Linked DNA regions of Diceros bicornis minor. The protein of the gene in region 1 purifies or fractionates together with the protein of each later gene. This does not show direct contact. Links are inferred from orthologs where the notes say so. Each region holds a gene or a part of one and is shown on either strand. Other genes may lie near its edges.

What was found.
Region 2: the proteins of KDR (region 1) and CDH5 purify together in Homo sapiens (affinity purification with western blotting; 3 studies listed by BioGRID and IntAct, with this or other methods). This does not show direct contact. The link is inferred for Diceros bicornis minor from reciprocal best matches to the Homo sapiens genes KDR and CDH5.

Annotation. Positions count from the first base shown.
Region 1 is NC_080747.1:42,931,273-42,940,937, reverse strand, and holds the start of KDR (vascular endothelial growth factor receptor 2), read left to right. Parts: upstream 1-5,387; 5' UTR 5,388-5,659; coding exon 5,660-5,726; intron 5,727-9,591; coding exon 9,592-9,665. UniProt on the Homo sapiens protein: Tyrosine-protein kinase that acts as a cell-surface receptor for VEGFA, VEGFC and VEGFD. Plays an essential role in the regulation of angiogenesis, vascular development, vascular permeability, and embryonic hematopoiesis.
Region 2 is NC_080771.1:18,401,762-18,412,169, forward strand, and holds the start of CDH5 (cadherin-5), read left to right. Parts: upstream 1-5,666; 5' UTR 5,667-5,718; intron 5,719-10,408. UniProt on the Homo sapiens protein: Cadherins are calcium-dependent cell adhesion proteins. They preferentially interact with themselves in a homophilic manner in connecting cells; cadherins may thus contribute to the sorting of heterogeneous cell types.

The DNA.
Region 1 (9,665 bases):
ATAGTTCTATTTATTCCAACAAGTTGCTCTCTGTAAAGATAATTGTGATAGATAACTAGAGAGGCATGTGATTCCGGGGTGGGGGTGGGAAGGGGGTTGGGGGAGCAAAGGAGAAACAAAGAGCAGCAGAAAGGAAAATGATAACAATTATTTGAAATTCATCAATGTATTGAGAGGTGAGTCAGCACAGAGATTGTGTTAGGTACTGAGAATACAAAATGAATTTGACCTAATTTCTGCTTTTGAGGGAGAAACATTCACATAGACATATGACTATATTATCATATATAATATGATAATAAGTATATAGTGTACAAAGTATATTTTACTAAATAAACATCATCATCATGCACTTCACCATTCTTAATAAACCTTAACAACCATCCTTCTAAACTCAACTCCCTGCTTAGGTAAGATTCAATCTCTGCCAATTTCTTCCGGGAGGTTCTCAATTGAAGAAGACAGCTGAATAAAAAACTAAAACATATCACTTGGGAAGGACATTTGAGCTGGGTATTGAAGGATGAATAAAAGTTTTCTGGGAGACCAAAGGACCAAAAAAAAAAAAAAAATCCATGGCAGAAAAGAAATGCCCCAAATGCACAAGTGATTATGTGTATAGGAGCAGCTGCCTTTCTTTGGAGGAGAAGATCAGTGGGTTCAGGGGTTGGGTAAGAAGGTGAAGATCCAGTCTGGCTGGAATTCCTGGGCGGGATTGGGGAAGAGATCTAATTACCTGCCTTTCATTCTTCCTGGTCACCCATCTCAGAGTGATGCTCCTAAGTCACTCTTGGCCTTCCATCCACCTGAGAAAGTGGAAGGGATCATCATGAAAAGGCTGAGGAAGCTGGTAGCATCTCTTCACTCAGTCTCATCCCTAAGAGACCAGTTCTCAACAAGAAACTGTTTGTATGTGCTTGGAGGAGTCTGTCTTGGATGTTTAATATCCCTTTACTTTAAATCCTGATTCCAACTCCTATAGTTGCGGGACTTTGAAAAAGTTACTTAAACATTCTAAATCTCATCTCTCCTCCCCCTGGTTATATGAGAATAATTATAGCATCTTCTCTGTTGAGTTATTGTAAGTTATTGTGAACTCCTCCTCTCCCTCCCCCTCCTTCTGGTCCTCCTCTCCTTCTGGTCCTCCTCCTCCTCCTTCTCCTCCTCCTCCTCCTCCTCCTTCTAAAAAGCAAAGATTATCTTGACTTTCATCACATCGCTAACCAATGGCAAGAAAACTATGCAAACAGATAAAACAACTTTTTTTTTCTTTTGCAAGACTTTTAGGAAGACAAAGGAATATTTTCTTAATTTAAGAATAAGTAATTTCTTGTCTTTTCTCCTATTCTTTACTAACAATTGCCAGTAGTGCTTGCTGCCCTCATGGGGTGTTGCAAGGACGAGGCCAGGGATGAAGTGAAGCATTCGGAGCAGTGCCTGCTCAAAAGACGCGCTCAATGAGTGTTGGCCACTTTTATTATTTTTTAACATCCTTCTATGGTGTTTTGTGGATTTTCAGTTGGTTATTGAAATTACCTACATGCTTTCCACATTTAAAAATTTTCATATTTGTCCTTATGTTAGTATAACAAGAACCTATACGGGAGAATTTGGGGAGGGCACATAGGCATACATATTTATACTAACTGAAAATTTTCCTCTGCAGGTGGCAAGTAATGAAGTTCTGTTTCATCTGTTTCACAAAAAGGATGAGGGAGTTTGTTTTATATTTAATAATGTAAGACTTTATGAATAAAACCAAACACTGATAGAAACATCCAAGGCAAGCCTGGCTTTGTGGTAACATAGCCTTCTTTCCTTTGAACATACAAATATATTTTAAGTTTAAGTTAAAAATATAAATCACATAGAGAGTAAAATAAACGAGGGTGTGTAAGGAAGGTAGATAACAAGAGATAGAGAGTATGCTCATAATTTCCTGAGGCATGATAGTCATGAGTACAGATGGGCTATGAAATCAAGCCAACATCTGGCAAGGTACTCAGTCACAGGCTCTGGTAAGTTACAGCATAAACAAATATTGGAAACAAATTGAATGAAGTAAACACATGTAATCCACAATTGGCAATATTGGAAAATATAACAGCCACTAGAAGAGAGAGCTGATCTTGATTTATATTTTTTATTTGTAAAAATAATACTTTCTTGTTTTGGAAAAATGTTATAGAAATATATGATGTAAAAAGTGCAAATGCCATCCACTTGCCTCTCTGCCTCAACCATTTCCCAGAGGTAATGTCAGGACACTGACAGTGGAAAAGTCAGTAGTATTATACTAGACTGGGCATCACTTTGATTAAAATTACTTAAAACAGGAATTTTTTTATTATGGAAAATTTCAAACATGTAAAAGTAGACAGAATAGTAAAATGAACACTTATGTACTCATCATCCAACTTCCACAATTATTAACGTTTTGCTATCTTCATATTTATTTTCTAAGATATGAAGTGCAAAATACTGGTGGCGACGGAAGCAGATTTGGCATCATGGATTTAGGCAGTGTGCTTTGGTGATATAAACAATGTACATTCTGTATGCACAAAGGCCAGAGAAGTAGCTGGAGATACAGAATACTGTGTAATTAAATTTTCCCTAGGATGGAGCTATTGTGATGACAGTTCATTTATGCTCATATTGCCTTTATTTTCACCATTGTAACCCTAGTTTCTAGTACATTGCCTAGCACATAGTAGGTGCTCAAAAGCTGCTGTTGAAGGAATGAGACTTATTTGCAGTTTAGAGCTCAGCGGCACAAAGGAGACCATGCATTGTAGTATAACTAACCTTTGCAGAATGCTTCTTAATGTATATCGGGTGCTTACTATGTGCTAGGCACCTATGCTTACCAGGAGTTAGGTCCTATTCTAAGTGCCTCAGCTGCAGAAACTCATTTAATTCTTGCAAAAACCCTACGAAGAAGGTACTATTCTCATCTTTTGTTTTGGCAGACACACAACCAGTAAGTTGGTGAAGATCACACAGATAGGAAGGGGTAGATGTGGGAGTCAAGCCCAGAGTCTGTGCACTTAGCACCACTCCTTGCTGCTTCACCCCTGAACGTGTCTGAATCCCATATGGAGCACTGAGCACACTTGAGCACTTTGATAGGTGGTGGTCGTACCTGCACTGCTAGATTAACTCACAACATCACTCCTTTGCAGTGGTGCCAGATAATGGCAGGGTGTTGTACATGGAACAGACTCTTTTGTTTTTAAACAAACTTTGTCATTTTTCACGAACACAAGGCACTTCTAAGTGCTGTGTGGGAGGGAATGTGGTAGACTGATTTCATTGAGACCCTGCCAAATTCTGGTCTTGCGGCCATCAAAGACGCATCATTTCCTCCAAGACTTCTAAAGGGGGCTATTACCACAGGGCCTGCAGGTTCTGGTTTGCATTCAGAGGAGACACTATCTTCTTAAGTGAGACGTGGAAGAGGAAGTGTCATGAATTGTAAATAAGGCTGAGAGAAGAATTGTTTGGAGACGGAGGTGGGGAAAAATTGCCTTTTCCAAACCAGCTTCCATCTCCCTCCCCCTTATCCAACTTTGCCAGAGCTCATCCTGTTTTCTTTGCTAAGTTTACCAGCAGGAAGAGAGGAGTTTCTTTAAGGATACTCCTGCCCCTGACAAATAAATACCTCTGAGATTAAATATTAATACATCTATCCAGTGGAACACCATGCCACTACTAAAAAGAACAAGAAGAAGCCTTAAGAGTTGATGTAGAATGGTCTCCAAGTTATATTTTAAAGTGAAAAAAGCCAATGCTTAAACAATATTTACACCAAGGCTACCCTTTGTGGAAGAAGGAGGGTGATACACCTATATGTGCACAGAATTTGCTTGGAAAAAAGGAAAAGTAAAAATGCTTACCTCTGCCAAAGGATGCGTGTTTCATTCTAAACCTTTTTATATTAGAATTTTTTTAAACCATATACATTCATTATATTTCAGAGTTAAAGTATTCCAATTGTCAACCTGGCAAATAGAAGAGTAAATATAAAAAAATAGCGGAAGAAAAGCAACACTTTACATTAATTGTGTATTTCAGGAGGAGGGGCTGGGACTAGATGTAAAATAATAATTCTACCTCTTCATCTCCCTGAAGGATAGTCCTTTAAGTTGTCATTAAAAAGCACTTGGGAAGGAAGAGACAGAGGGATCTGGAAGATCTCTATTTAGTGAAGTTAGGGGACATTTGATGTCACTGCCCAGGTGTGGGGAGAAATGGAGAGAAAATGAGAACGAGCAAATGTGGTCAGAAAGGAATCCGAGTTCTCCTCCAAACAGAGCCACAAGGACACGTGCGGAGAGAGCTGTGAGGTTTGGTACAGAGTGTTCTGGGTGCCCAGGGTCTGGGAGCCGTCGCTTCATTGCTTCTCCAGTGAAGCCCACCGCGGCTGGTCCTCCTCCCCCTTGGCCTAAGGATATCTTGGCTGGAAGCGCTGCTCTGAAAAGGGGCCTGGCCAAAGGCCCAACAAGAGTCACGCTAGGGGAGTCTTGTCAGGTAACTCAGTGGACAAAAGCCCTTTTCAAGGAGGGCCTCATTCGAGGGATGGGTGACCGTCACGCCGCGGGTACGCCAGAGCCCTGGGTACCTCCAGCTCCCCGGTGGCCTGAAGGACGTTTTTGACGAAAGCCAGATAGGGGGTCTCAGATTTAAATGCCTTTTGAGGCTGGGCAGTTAACGTAACATTCGAAGCCACCAGGTCTAAGAGGAAATAGCAGGAACTTGGGAGAACTGGGCAGGTATATATTCTGACCAAACGCACTCAGATTCAGATTTTTTAAACTACAACTGTGCTGGCCAAGCAAAACACTCGTACTGGCTGGAGTCACTGCCAGATTGCGATCCTGCATTCGTCTCGGCTCAGTATCCGCTTCTCCCGCGTTGCTTCAACCTGCTGCAGATCCTCCGCCCGTCCCGCAGCCACTTCAGGCGCGCGCCGCGCCGAAGAGCGTCTCAAACTTCGGCGCGCCTCCTGAGGGCGCAGTGGCCCTCGCTGCGCTCCCGGTGTTGCTCCCCAATACCTCGGGGGCCAGCAACCGACTGAACTTTGGAGTGGCTCAGGATCCGTTACGGGCTACATTTTATTTCCGCCAGAAACGGAGTTGTAGCGCCCGGGACGTTCTCCCTCGGGCGACTCGGAGCCAGGCGCGGTCCCGGGCAATTGGGGAGATAGGAAGAAACAGCGAGCGTGGGAAGCGCGGGATCCTGGCCGGGTACCCGGCTGAGGGGCGGGGCCGGCCGCAGAGGGGCGCCCCGCCCCGGCCCCGCCCCGCATAGCCCCGCCCCCGCGCTCTAGAGTTTCGGCTCCCGCTCCCACCCTGCACTGAGTCCCGGGACCCCGGGAGAGCAGGCGGTGGGTGTTTTGTGTATCCTCTGCCCGCGCGGGGCATCACTTGCGCGCTACAGAAAGCCCACAGCCATCCTGCAGCCGGGATATCCTCTCCTACCGGCACCCGCAGACACCCCTGCGGCCGCGGCCGGAGCCGGGGCACCCTCGCGCCGTGCGCTGCGGCGTCTTGCGCTGCGGCGCGCGTTCCACCTCCGCGCCTTCTTCGCGGGGCAGGCCCGGGGAGAGAGAACCGGCGTCCGAGTTCTGGGCACTGCGCCCGGCGCGAGGTGCGAGATGGAGGGCAAGGCGCTGCTGGCCATCGCTCTGTGGCTCTGCGTGGAGACCCGGGTTGCCTCTGTGGGTAAGGAGCCCACTCCCTAGAAGGAAGGCGGAGACGTCGGGTGCGGGCGGAGAGACGGGGATGCAGAGAGGACCCGGAGGCCGGATCTAACTCAGAATCATAGAGCTGGAGCGTGGAAAGTGACTTGACACTTTGTGTTCTTTCATTTACCAGTGAGGAAACTGAGGCTTGCGGACTGGCCCAGGGTTACTCAGCTAGTTGGTGGTCTCCTGAGCCCAGTTCCTTTTCCATGACTCTGGTCTCCTACAGGGGCCTCGGCTGGAGCGAGTCCTGCGGAGCCAACACACCCTCGGGCTCTCGGGAGGCGGAGGTGGGAAGGCGCCCCGGGCTGGCAGGCAGGAGGTGCCCGCAGGCGGGAACAGGAGGTGAACAGTTGTCAGGCTGCGCGCCCCATCCTAGCCCGGGCGCGGGGAAGAAGGCCTTGCAGGGAGCGCAAGCCAGTTCGCTCGGATCGCACCGTGCACTCAGTCCGCCTTTGTAGGAGTCAAGCTGTAGGAACCCCGGTCGGCTGTTCCCTTTCGCTCGAACTCACATACCGACTGTATGTGGTGGGGTCCAGGGGGAGGGAAACTTTTTTTCCCCTTGGCGCAGGATGCCGTTCTCTTCGCAGAGAGAAGGGGAAATTGGGGCTTGGACCCAGGGCTGTGACAGCTTCCCAAAGTGTCTCCAAGTAACAGTCAGCTTTGTAAAACAATTTAACATCTTTCAAAACGCTTTGGTCCTTGGGGTAAGCGCATGGTCAGAAGTTCACGTTCTGAAAACTTACTCTGCGAGACTTGGTACCTAGAATGAGCGCCACTCGTCACTCTCCTTGCCACCTAAAATTTCAGTCTCCTTCAAGACTTGGAACACATATGCTCTTGATGCAATAAATTCTTTCTTTTCTTTCTTTCTCTCTTTCTTTTCTATAGCCACAGTCTGCTGATTTCCAGATTTCCACTGTTTGGACGGTGAGAAAGGAAAGAGGGTGGAGAAAGGAAAAAAGAAGTCAAATAATTCAGGGAAAAAAATTCCTTATATCGAAAGGAAAGAATCACATGTCAAAAAAAAAAAAAAAAGACACGCACACTCATATACAGTACCCAGATCATCTGTCTATAGTTATTGAATTTTCTTAATAATGACTTGGTTCATCAGGGCCAGCTCCACCATGGACACTCATTTGTCCCTGACAACCTCTCTCTCCCCCTTAATGGGAGAGAATGAAAGTCTGGAACGTGTGGTTGTTCTGTATCCCACAAAGAAGTGAGTTGCTTTTAAGCCTGGGGTGTTTCATAGCGCAGCAGCAGTAACTGTAACGGGTTGCCCTGAATATAACGATGAGGTTGCCCTTTGGAGTGTGTGACTTGCTTAATTGGATTGGGCTATAATTGGTGCCATCAAATTCTAGAGACAGAGGCACTGTTGTTTTTCCTTCCCGTCTTTGAGCTGGAAGGGTAATAGTGCACAAATTAATTAATTTTGGTTATGGGATTTGAACATAGAAGGGCTTTTTATTGAGTAGCAGCATATGTACTTCTTATAGTTATTTCTTTAGAACTTTCTGAAGAGTAGAACTCAAACTTGCCAATGAAAATGAATGAAGCTTAATGGAGCAAAAAAATTGACTGTTGGTCTACAGATATGAATTTGAAGTTGTTATTGATAGCCTTGTTGAATAGTTTTTTTGTTGGAGACATGTCTCTGGAATAGTATGGTGTTGTCTTGGCTTCCTATGAATGGAGAACATATCTTTTTTTTTTTTTTTTTTACATTGGAAAGTATGTCTAGAGTGTGAGATAATCTGTGGCGATAATTTGTGAGAGATCTTCAAGAATCTCTTGTTTTGGTGGTGGGGAGAGCATAGCTTATTTAGAGCTTAGTTTTTACTACCGTTTTTTTCTCACATGAATGTGCCCAAATAATGGGTTCTTTCTCATTTGATCGTTGTGCAAAGTATAATAAGTTAGTGTAAGTTAGTGTTTTCAACATGTTTCTCAACCTAGTGTTTCCCAGTCAACTTTGGTATCTGTGCTCATCCAAATGAATTGTTTTCATTTTTCTTTTCTTGGGTAAAGTGGGACTCCGTTATTGGAAGGCTTTTCTTTTACTTTTAAACATTTTGCTTTATTGTTGGCTTGCTTTGGGGGCAGTTGCTTCCTTCATATTGAAAAGCGCTGTGCTGATTAACTGAGCATGGCCACCCAGGCCAATAGCTGTCCAAGAGTGGCCCACAGACCGTGTATAATCGACCTGCTTGTTAAAATGCAGATCTGTAGGCCTAGGGACATTCCGACACATGCTAAAGCTTAAGAACTCCTGCCCCAAACACAAGTCAGTATCAATGCCAATTAGTTCCTGAAATTTACTGATATAACTTAATTTCTAGGTTTTTTTTTTTTTTTTACTATGATATTGATCAACAAACATACAGTTATGTCAGCAACCTATTTTTGCACTCTGGGTGAGTATGTGAGAACATGCCTGATCAGTTGTTCACTTTGCCTGCAGCTTTAGAGTTCACAGATTCAATGCATTGGATATTTGCACTGGATATTTGCTTATACTCTCTCATATTTGCTGATACTCTCTTATTTACCCAACAAGGTCAATGCCAGTTTAGGCCTAGAGAGTCATTTGTTCTTACTTGATGTGAGTGAAGGGTCATATTAAGCTCGGATGCTTACGCAGCGTCAGTCACTTTTTTTGTGTGTGTGAGGAGGTTGGCTCCGAGTTAACATCTGTTCCCAATCTTCCTCTTTTTGCTGAGGAAGATTGTCCCTGAGCTAATATCCATGCCAGTCTTCCTCTATTTTGTATGTGGGATGCTGCCACAGCATGGCTTGATGAGCAGTGTATAGGGCGGTGCCCAGGATCCAAACCTGTGAACTCCTGGCCGCAGAAGCGGAGCGCATGAACTTAACTACTACGCCACCGGGCTGGCGCCTATCACTCACTTTTTAAGGTGGTGTTTGAAGATCTGGATATCAGTTAAGGCCCTAGCATGGTAGACAGCTTTTCTTTCTTTGATGCTTTTTCAATACCTGGGAACTCTTCCCATTTAGTTGACAGAGAGTTCAGTTTTCTTGCTGTGGAGTGACCCATGGTGAAGAATTGATTTCATGGTATTTTTAGGTAAAGACAGGTTTCTTGTGTTCCAAGCTTGGTATCAAGAGGAGCTCAGAGCTTTGATTAATAAGTTGAGATTCCCCAATTGTAATTCATTAGCGTTACACTCTTTTTAGTCCCGCTCTTTGGGGAAAAGTATGTTAATAGGCATATTATATGACATTGGAAAATGTTTTCTTTCCCTCAATTCCTCTCCCCTAGTTTTAGTGTACAGTCTTTCAACCTTGGCAGTTCAGTTACCAGAGGAAGTGCACTCGAAAATTGGTAAAGGAAAATAAGACAAGGTCACGGACACTCCCACCCCCTTCAGGGTACATGGATGAACTATATAGAAATGTCTCTAAGTAGTATTCGTTAATCAGCAATTTAGTTGAATGTGTGCATCCTATGTTTTATAAGAAATGTCAGTGGGTCCTTTCCCAAGGGAGTGAGATCATCAGATGAAGGTTCATTTAATTTCAATGTCCCATATCCTTTTGTGAGACCTTGAAGTTGGCAATGCAGGAAAACAGGAACTCCACCCGAGCTCCATGAATTGCAGAACTGTTGTGTTGGTTTATGACCATCTGCCCATTCTTCCTGTTATGACACAGCTTGTGAACTTTTACTGGGAATGGTGAAAAGTAAATTCACAGTTTTACACAATGAATTGCTGAAGAGGCCTTTTAAAGTATAGAGTGTGCATTGTTTATGGAAGGTGTTTCCTATTGGGTCTGACTCAGGGGCAACTACATTCGTTTATTTAATTTGTTTCTAGGTTTGTCTAGTGTTTCTGTTGATCCACCCAGGCTCAGCATACAAAAAGACATACTTACTATTATGGCTAATACG
Region 2 (10,408 bases), on another chromosome or scaffold:
GAGCCACGGAGGGGAGATCTGGGTCGAGAAGGCTGGTGGGGGCTCTGCGAGCAGGTAAGGGGGCAGAGAGAAGGCAACCCTGGGCAAAGACCCAGAGGCGTGAGCTGCATGGCTTTACCACCACTGCCTTCACAGAAGCCGGTGGCATGGCTTCCCTGCACCATCCCTGGGCCTCCCACACTCTGGGGAAGAAGGAACAGGAACTCTGGTTTGAGGAGCCCCTACTGTGCACCAGGCACAGTTTGGTGGGCAGGAAACCTTGGTGGGTGAGGAGACAGCCTTTGGAAACAGAGGCCTGGGTCGGAATTTCCGTTCCACCACTGACAAGCTCTGTGATCTTGGGGAGCACTTAATTCTCAGTCTCTGTTTCCCCGTCTGTGTAATGAGGATAACAATAGTGCCGTCCCCCAGGGTTGTCCTCAGGACTGAAAGAGGAGTCCCCAGGGAGAGAGCTCCCTGCACGGCCAGCACACTCAGCTGCGGTCCTTAGACATGAGCATGCAAAAACGTCACTGGAGGAGCTGCAAACATGTAGGTCTCAGGGTTCCGTGACCAGCCATTCTGACTCCACCTGCCTGGGGAGGCCCAGGAATCTGCATTTCAGCCACACTTCCCAGCTGATTCGGAGGCGGGCGACCTGAAGACCACATTTGGAGAAACGCCTGCTCAATAACTGCTTGTTGTTACCGTCATTTATTTTCTGTGTCTCATTTGACCCTCCAGACAGCCCTGCAAAGTGTGACTGGCAGCCCATTTCACAGGTGAGGGAAGAGGCTCAGAGAGGCAAGTCAACAGCCTCAGGTCACACAGCCAGCGATGGGCCAGGGTAGGAGCTGAACCGGGTCCACCAACCCCAAGCCCAAACCTCTCCAAGCAGGGCGTGACAGGGCCCCCTCCCTGGTCAGCTCTCGTTCTGGCAGAGGCTGGGTGGGTGTCCGCAGGCCTCGTTGGTACGGTCCCCAGCCCACCCCCACCGCCCTCATTCTTGCTTCCTCCTCCAGCTGCTAATCAGGTCTCGCAGACCATCCCGTTTCCTGCCGGCCCACCGGCTGCCTCCCCTGCTCCTGATGGCGCTTCCTGGCCTTGTGCCCTCCTGTTACCTCCTTTGCCTCCAGACGTGTTGGAGCAGGGGCTGGGCAGTGGCAGAAATCGGGCATGAGATCCTGAGGAGGCCCTGAGGGGCACTAGCCTCCCTCCCATGGCCTGGACCACCTCTGCATGGCGACCCCACCCCCACCCCAGGGGCACAAGTCTGGATGCCATTCCCTTGTTTACAGATGACAGGAACAGCGGGCTTCAGGGCAGAGTCAACTTCCTCACGGACTGGGAGTACAAAGGGAACCGGCAGATGGTGCCAGGACAGACCCTGTCCCTGTCTGCCACCTGCGCCAGTCTGAGACCCAGCAGGAAGTCATGCCCGGCCAGGCCCGGCCCCGTGGGCACGTAGACTCACGCAGGGCAGGGGTGAGGGGGATCAGGCTGGGGCACCAGGGACAGAGCATGGGCCTGTCCTGGCTCCTCAAGGGCCCTTCCCACCCTCTGGCAGGAGAAGGCAGAGTTAATCCTGTTGGAGAAGGAAAGTCTGAGCCTTTGTTTGTTCATTCCACAAACGGTGATCGAATGTGCTGGATCCCGCTCAGAGGCCGCCTCGGGACGGTTATCCTTCCAGCAGGTCGCTCCCCTTGCTCCAGCATCATCTGGCTTCCTGGCTGCTGGATGCCCCCTCAGCACACAAACACGCCACCACAGCCTCAAAAAGACAACAAAAAGCCTCCCATGTCTCTGCTCCCACCACTGCAAGTCTTGGGGAAGGAGCTGTGATCGCGTGTGCCTCTACTCGCCCATGCCTCCTGCTCTAGCCCGGGCCCTCTAATCCACCCTGTCCGCTCCTCTCCATCTAACCTGCACTGCTCACAGTCATCCATGACCTCCGTCCTCCAAACCCAGCAGTCGAGTCTCAGCCCTCGCTTTTCCCAGGATGACCCAGCTGACACCCCACTGTGCTGGCCCCATGGCCTCAGGGGCCAGCCCTAAGTGTCCCCCCCAACCCCCCCCAACCTCATCTCCAGGCCACCCGTCTCCACCTGTCCCCAACCCTGTCTCCACCCCATCTCCACCTGTCCCCACCTGTCTCCACCCCTGTCTCCACCTGTACCCACCCCTGTCTCCACCCTGTCTCCACCTGTCCCCACCCGTCTCCACCCCGTCTCCACCCCTGTCTCCACCTGTACCCACCCGTCTCCACCCGTCTCCACCCCTGTCTCCACCTGTACCCACCCGTCTCCACCTGTAACCACCCCTCTCCACCCGTCTCCACCTGTACCCACCCGTCTCCACCCGTCTCCACCTGTACCCACCCGTCTCCACCCCTGTCTCCACCTGTACCCACCCGTCTCCACCCGTCTCCACCTGTAACCACCCCTCTCCACCCGTCTCCACCCCTGTCTCCACCTGTACCCACCCGTCTCCACCCCTGTCTCCACCTGTCTCCACCCGTCTCCACCCGTCTCCACCTGTAACCACCCCTCTCCACCCCTGTCTCCACCTGTACCCACCCGTCTCCACCCGTCTCCACCCCTGTCTCCACCTGTACCCACCCGTCTCCACCTGTAACCACCCCTCTCCACCCGTCTCCACCTGTACCCACCCGTCTCCACCCGTCTCCACCCCTGTCTCCACCTGTACCCACCCGTCTCCACCTGTAACCACCCCTCTCCACCCGTCTCCACCTGTACCCACCCGTCTCCACCCCTGTCTCCACCTGTACCCACCCGTCTCCACCCGTCTCCACCTGTACCCACCCGTCTCCACCCGTCTCCACCTGTACCCACCCGTCTCCACCCCTGTCTCCACCTGTACCCACCCGTCTCCACCCGTCTCCACCTGTAACCACCCCTCTCCACCCGTCTCCACCTGTACCCACCCGTCTCCACCCGTCTCCACCCCTGTCTCCACCTGTCCCCACTCCTGTCTCCACCCTGTCTCCACCTGTACCCACCCGTCTCCACCCGTCTCCACCTGTACCCACCCGTCTCCACCCCTGTCTCCACCTGTACCCACCCGTCTCCACCCGTCTCCACCTGTAACCACCCCTCTCCACCCGTCTCCACCCCTGTCTCCACCTGTACCCACCCGTCTCCACCCCTGTCTCCACCTGTCTCCACCCGTCTCCACCCGTCTCCACCTGTAACCACCCCTCTCCACCCCTGTCTCCACCTGTACCCACCCGTCTCCACCCGTCTCCACCCCTGTCTCCACCTGTACCCACCCGTCTCCACCTGTAACCACCCCTCTCCACCCGTCTCCACCTGTACCCACCCGTCTCCACCCGTCTCCACCCCTGTCTCCACCTGTACCCACCCGTCTCCACCTGTAACCACCCCTCTCCACCCGTCTCCACCTGTACCCACCCGTCTCCACCCCTGTCTCCACCTGTACCCACCCGTCTCCACCCGTCTCCACCTGTACCCACCCGTCTCCACCCGTCTCCACCTGTACCCACCCGTCTCCACCCCTGTCTCCACCTGTACCCACCCGTCTCCACCCGTCTCCACCTGTAACCACCCCTCTCCACCCGTCTCCACCTGTACCCACCCGTCTCCACCCCTGTCTCCACCTGTACCCACCCGTCTCCACCCGTCTCCACCTGTACCCACCCGTCTCCACCCGTCTCCACCTGTACCCACCCGTCTCCACCCCTGTCTCCACCTGTACCCACCCGTCTCCACCCGTCTCCACCTGTAACCACCCCTCTCCACCCGTCTCCACCTGTACCCACCCGTCTCCACCCCTGTCTCCACCTGTACCCACCCGTCTCCACCCGTCTCCACCTGTACCCACCCGTCTCCACCCGTCTCCACCTGTAACCACCCGTCTCCACCCCTGTCTCCACCTGTACCCACCCGTCTCCACCCGTCTCCACCTGTAACCACCCCTCTCCACCCGTCTCCACCCCTGTCTCCACCTGTACCCACCCGTCTCCACCCGTCTCCACCTGTCCCCACCCGTCTCCACCCCTGTCTCCACCTGTCCCCACCCCGTCTCCACCCGTCTCCACCTGTCCCCACCCCTGTCTCCACCTGTCCCCACCCCGTCTCCACCCGTCTCCACCCGTCTCCACCCCTGTCTCCACCTGTACCCACCCGTCTCCACCCGTCTCCACCTGTCCCCACCCGTCTCCACCCCTGTCTCCACCTGTCCCCACCCCGTCTCCACCCGTCTCCACCTGTCCCCACCCCTGTCTCCACCTGTCCCCACCCCTGTCTCCACCTGTCCCCACCCCTGTCTCCACCCCTGTATCCAACTGTATCCACCCCTGTCTCCACCAGTCTCCAACTGTATCCACCCCATCTCCAACTGTAGCCACCCCTGTCTTCAACTGTAGCCACCCGTCTCCAGCTGCCAACCTGACATCGCCACTGGGTTGTGTAAGGGCCATCTCAACATCAACGTGCCCCAAACAGAGAAATCTTTATCTCCCCCTCCCCAAAAATATTCTTCCATCCCATTCCCCCTCTCCACACTAGTGTCCACTGACTTACTGAGGGCCCCTGGGCAAGGCCTCTCCCTCTCAGGTCTCTGCCCAGCTGTACAACGGAACAGGTTCGGGACTTCCCAGCCATTCATTCATCCACGGAAACAGAGGGGCAACTAGTCAAAGGACAGACTCCCACTGCCTGCCCTGGGAGACTCCACATCCCTCGGCCTGGGGTGGGGCCCCGGGATCCGCAGTTCATAAAAGCTCCTCAGGACTCTCGTGACTCACAGAATTTGAGCCCCTCCCCCGCAGCATCTTGGTTCTGACGGGCTCTGATCCGGCCTTCAGCTTCACTATCTTTCATGTCCCTCTTCGACTCCCGTTTACCACAATAGCCATGTGAGGTTCAGGCTACGACTTTCCACATTTTACAGATGAGGAAACTGAGGCTCAGGGTGGACATGACTGGCTCATAGTCACATCAGAAGCAGAGCCAGGGCGCTTGACTCCACCTGATTTTTCTAAACCCAAACGACCCCCCAAAGCCCAGTCTGGTGCCTTAGAGCTGGAACCCACGCCCCCTCACTGGGAAGAGGTCGATCCAACTCACAGAGCCAAGAGCTGTGGTCTGTGTCCCACCTCCCACCCACTCCACCCCCGACGCCCTGAAGCCTCCCCATCCCCTGCAAAGTCGGCCCCACCCCAGCATGTCATGGGGTCACCTGGGAAAATCTGGCTCTGGGCCTAGGCTGACCCAGGCTGGATTTTTGGCTCTGCTACGCCCCAGCTGGGTGGACGAGCATCTTCAACTTGCTGAGTCTCAGTGTCCTGAGCTTTATTATAAAATGGGGGTGATGACCCCTGCCCTCGGGGTTACAGGGAGGGTGAACTAAGGCCCTAGGCAGGTGCTGGGCTCAGGACGCCAGAGCTGAGGCCCGGGCCGGGTCCAGGGCTAGGCCTCTGTGAGGTCAGCCTGGCTGGGCCGAGGCAGCCGCCCACTGTGGGGCCTGCCTATCTGCAGCCAGCCCGGCCCTCACAAAGGAACAATAACAGGAAACCATCCCGGGGGAAGTGGGCCAGGGCCAGCTGGAAAACCTGAAGGGGCGGCGGCCAGGCCTCCCTTGCAGGCCAGGCGTGGCTCCCCTCGAGAGCTGTCGGCAGAGCCCCAGAGAGCTCCGGAGCACACTCGGCCCCAGGCAGGCAGGCAGACGAACGGAGACACCTCTCAGCCCACGGGCACGGTGAGTGAGGGCTCCCTGCACCGCGCTCCACCCAGACCCATCGCCATGTGCCCGGGACCGGAAGGTCCTCGGCTTCCCCATCTTAGAATGGTGGTGGTCGGGGTCTCAGGAAGATCCACTCCTCGGGCCAGACTCGGCCTCCTCCTGGTTCAGAGCAGGGCTGGTGCACCCCGTGGAGGCACCGGCCACGAACAGGTGTTCTCAGGGCTGAGGGAGGGGGTGAGGACTCGGCTCTCCCACATGTAGACTCTCCAACTCGGTGTGACTCGAGGGCCCACTGGCTTCCATCGGTGCCAGGCTCAGAGAGGGCAGGATTCTACCCGAGTCGCCCAGCACACTGGGGCGGAGGACTGGCACCCAGGCCTAGGCTCCCCCTCGGTGCCCCTTCCCCGTGGGAAAGGATTAGCCAAGGCCTGGCATCATCCCCTCCCCCAAGGCTCTGGGATTGGGAGAGGAGCTCAGCCCCCCTCCGTTAGCCAGTGCCCCCACTTTCAGAACAGGCAAGCTGAGGCTCAGCTCTGGGCACCTGAGGTCCGGCCTACGGACTCCCCTTCCCGCCCTGCCCCAGACACACAGGACGGCTACCAGCTGTGGAGCCGTGGTCGGGAAAGCGGCCCACCCTTCCCCCCAACACCCAGATAACCGAAGGCTGGGCCCAAGGGACCCCGCAGCCCTCATATTTTAGGGAAGTCTCCCCCAAAAGACTTGAAGGCAGGCGGTGTAGGGTGAGAGCCCAGCCTGGAGACCGTGGTCCTGGCGCAGAGCCCAGCCCCACCACTCGCTTCCTGTGTGACTTGGGGAAAACTCTCCAGTGTCTCCGAACCTCAGTTTGCTTGTCTGAACAATGGACATAGCGAGTCTCTGCAATTTACTGTGGGAACTGGAGCTGATGCGCATAGGAGGCTCTTAACCAAAGGGGCTCATTATGTTATCCTACCAACAACCCAGTGAGTGGGACAGATCCTTTCTCCGCCTCTAGTGGAGGCGGCTGAGCTTCAGAGAAGGTAAGGAAGAGCTGGAGTGGGGAGCTTGTACCCCAGAGCCCAGGCTCCTTCCAGCATCACGCAGCTTCTCCATGCCTCAGCCTTCTCATCTGGGAAATGGAGGAAACGGTCTTTTCATGAGTCACCTGAAGGAGGCAGTGTACACACCTGGCACCGGGAATGGCTCATAGCAGGGGAGTCTTCGAGAAATCATGGCTGAATTTACCTGCCACCCCAGAGCTGACCGTGGCTATGAGTGTCATAAAGGTTTTGACCCCTGAGGTCGGTGAGTCCCCAGCAGGTGAGGCGGAGGGGGTGCAAGTGAGGGGCTATCGACTCAGCTCTTCCTCTGGCCAGCACTTTGGGTAGCTACTCTGCACCAAGCACTGTGCTTGTTCTCCACACCCCTCGATGGACGTTTCTGCCATGGGTGGTGGGCAGATAGGATCCTGACAGGAAAGAAGGGCATTCTAGGGGAGGCAGGAACCCTGGGCAGCTCGGAGGTTTTGGGAAGGCTGTGGCCAGAGGGTTTTTTAGAGCCAGGAGCGCCAGGAGGGCTAGTGATGCTGGAGGCCCTGAGTGCCAGGCCCAGGAGCGCTGGTTCATCTTCAGGCGATGGGGGGCAGTGGGACTGTCCCCCGTCTGGCCTGAGTCCAGCCATCTTTGGGCCCCAGCCTGGAGGGCAGCAGGTGACCTCCAAGGGGCCCAGGCAGCCCTGCCAATTCCGGCTTACTATGGTGAGGGCAGAGGGGTGGCATCCCCCGGCCTTGAAGAGGTTAAGCTGCCCACCATGCAGGCTTGACCTGAGCAATTGTGCTGCTGAACAAGAGCCGGACGTGGGGGCAGGAAGTCAGAGGGGGCTAGGCTTATTTTCTCCCGAAGTTGGATGACTCACAGCTCTGCTGCTGCCTCTGGGACACAAGGTAGACACTGGCCACCAGCTAGGGAAAAACCTTGGGCCACTTGCCCATGTGGACCCATCCCTGCTACATCCGTCACCTCTCTGCACTCCCATGGCAGCCTTGAAGCTACTAAAAGAATTTCCATTTCACAGATGGGACCACAGAGGCCGAGAGAGGCTGAGCAGCCAGTCCAAGGTTACAGTTAGCACAAGGTGGAAGCAGGATATGAGTGAGGCCAGCGCCTCTGACCTCACGGCCCCCGCCACGCTCCATAGCGAAGCTCAGAGAGGGGATAAGTGGAGGAAGATTGAACCTGGCCGTTCAGCCACAGTTGGCTGACAGTTCAAGCCACAGAAGCAGGTATCAGGACAAGCCAGGAGGCCCAATGACCCTGGGGAAGGAATGTTCCAGGAGACAAGTCCTGCCCTCGGGAGCTTGGCTTCTAGCTGGAGAGCTACTGAAAAGCCCATCCTAACCCAGGTCTAAGCTGATGTTGGGTGGAGAAATCATAGAAGGCTTCCTGGAAGAAGAGCAGGAGCCCCAGAGGAAGCTGGGAGGTCTTGGGGAGCCCCTCTGCTCTCTGAGCCTCAGTCTTCTCATCTCTCTAGGGCAGGGAATGGACCTCATTCAGGGACCTCCAGATTGTTTGTCTTGGGCCACAGCGTAACAGTCAGATCCTGGCGGGCGCAGATACGAGGAGGAGGAGGAAGCAGGGCCCATGGGGCCAGGCCAGGCAGGCAGTGAATGAGATTTCCTTCTGGAGAGGCACAGAGGGGAGCAGGAGGTGGGGCCAGGGCAGAACCAGGAAATGAGGCCAGGTGTGAGTCGGCCAGTCGAGCCCACAGCCACCAGGCTGACGAGGGTGAGTGGATGTGGGTCAACAGACCCGCACACTTACTGAGCACCTACTGTGTGCCAGCTTCACCCCCTTGACCTCATTTAATCCTCCTGACTAGGAAGGCAGCTACGGTTGATGAGGAAGCTGGGGCCCACAGAGGGCAAGGGATGGGCCTAAGGCCACACAGCTCCTATGCAGCTGAGCAGGTTCAAACAGGTAGGCCTGTAGGGTTCATTCTATTGCCCCCACTGACTGCCTCACAGCCCCCATCAGAGTAGGGAAGCCCAGAGAAGGCTGGAAAAGGCTCCATAGGGTGGATGTTCTCTCCCCGAACGTGGAGTTGCCCCATTAGGAGACAGGGGAATAGACTGGATGATCTTGGAGCCCAGAGACCCCAAGACAACACAGATTTGTTTCAAATTACAACCCATGAGCTCCGTTTTGCCAGCCCCGCATTCAGAGGCACCCAGCACAGGGTACGTGTGTGTTCACCGGGGACCCATAAGAAGGATAATCTCGTTGTCCTCAAAGGATCAGAATCCTAATGGTGGTGTGTCTGACAATGTGAGGGGCCATCAGAGATGCTGCTGGGGACGAGGAGGAGCTTCCCTGAGTTATACCAGCTATTGCCCCTGCTCTGACCCCCCGAGGTGTTGTCTGCAAATACGCAGATTTGTTTCAAATCCTGTGAGTGAGGAGGGAAGCAGTGACAAGCCAGAGCTGGAGACCGCAGCAGGCTGACATGCAACAGTGGGGACACCGACACCCCAAGGTCAGGGGCCTGGAGTCCATGGAGCTGGATGCTAGGGTGGAGTAGAGACAGACCCAGAACCGGCCTGGTCAGAGACGCTCAGGCCAGGGACAGAGGCTGTGCTAGGGGCAGGAGTCAATCAGAAGACCTGTGGGGGAGCCGGCCTGGGGCTTGAAGAGAAGTAAAGCATTCACTCAGGGGACACGGCAAGGAAGGGCATTCTGTGCACAATGCCTGCTGGACAGAGGAAGAGCACTGTGAATTCCAGAAATGTCTAGTTCTCCTCATGGCTGGAAGGGACATGGAGATGGGGGAGAGGAGAGCCGGAGGGGTGGGCAGGGGACACACCATGCTGGGCCTTCCATGCTGGCCCAGGAGATGGACTTCATCCTGCAGGGGGTGGGGAGCCCGGGGGAGCAGTCGGCAGGGGAGCCACGTGGTCTGCTTTAAGGGGAGTTGAGACAGGGAGGCTGGTGGCAGAACCCTGAGGGGAGGGGATCTGGTCTGGGACCCACAGGAGCAGGTCCCAGGGCTGAACTGAGCCGAAAATTAGGAGAAAGCCCCAGGGGGCCAGCTCATAGCTACCCAGTCCCACTCCCAACACAGCCCCTCCCAGAGGCTCCAGGGCCTCACCCTTCACTCGCCCAGTGTTAGTGGATGCCAAGGCCCAGCTGTAAATGCTGGGGCTCAAGCAGACAACTGGGGAGTCCCTGAAGGAGTTTGGGGATCACTGGCTCCAACCTCTGTCCTAGAATGAGGCTCGAGGTGGTGGGGTGGGAGGGCGGTGGGCAGAGCTGCCCAGGGCCACACAGGGAGCGGGGGCCGCAGCGCTTCCCCTCCCACAGGCACACCTCCTGCATGTTCTGGGCCTCTCCTCCCCCTCCCCGGCCCCTTATCCCTGACCTGGGGCCTCTGGGCTGGAGTCCAGAGCCTGCGGGAGGCTGGGCTAGGACTGAGCGTCCAGTCCGCCCTCTGAGGCTCTGCCTGGGACTGGGCTCCACTGCCAGATCCTGTCCCGGCTGCCGGCGGGTGTGCCGGGCAGGGGCAGAGGGGCCCGCCCCGCGTAGCAGAGACTCTTCAGAAGTTGGCGTAGGCAGTGCCTGGGAACAGGGGCGTTGACTTGTGTAGGCACACAGGGGGTGTTGTGTGTCCATGTAGCCTGAGGATGTCATGTGTGTACCCCTGACCTGGAGTCTTCCTCTACCCCAACCCCAAA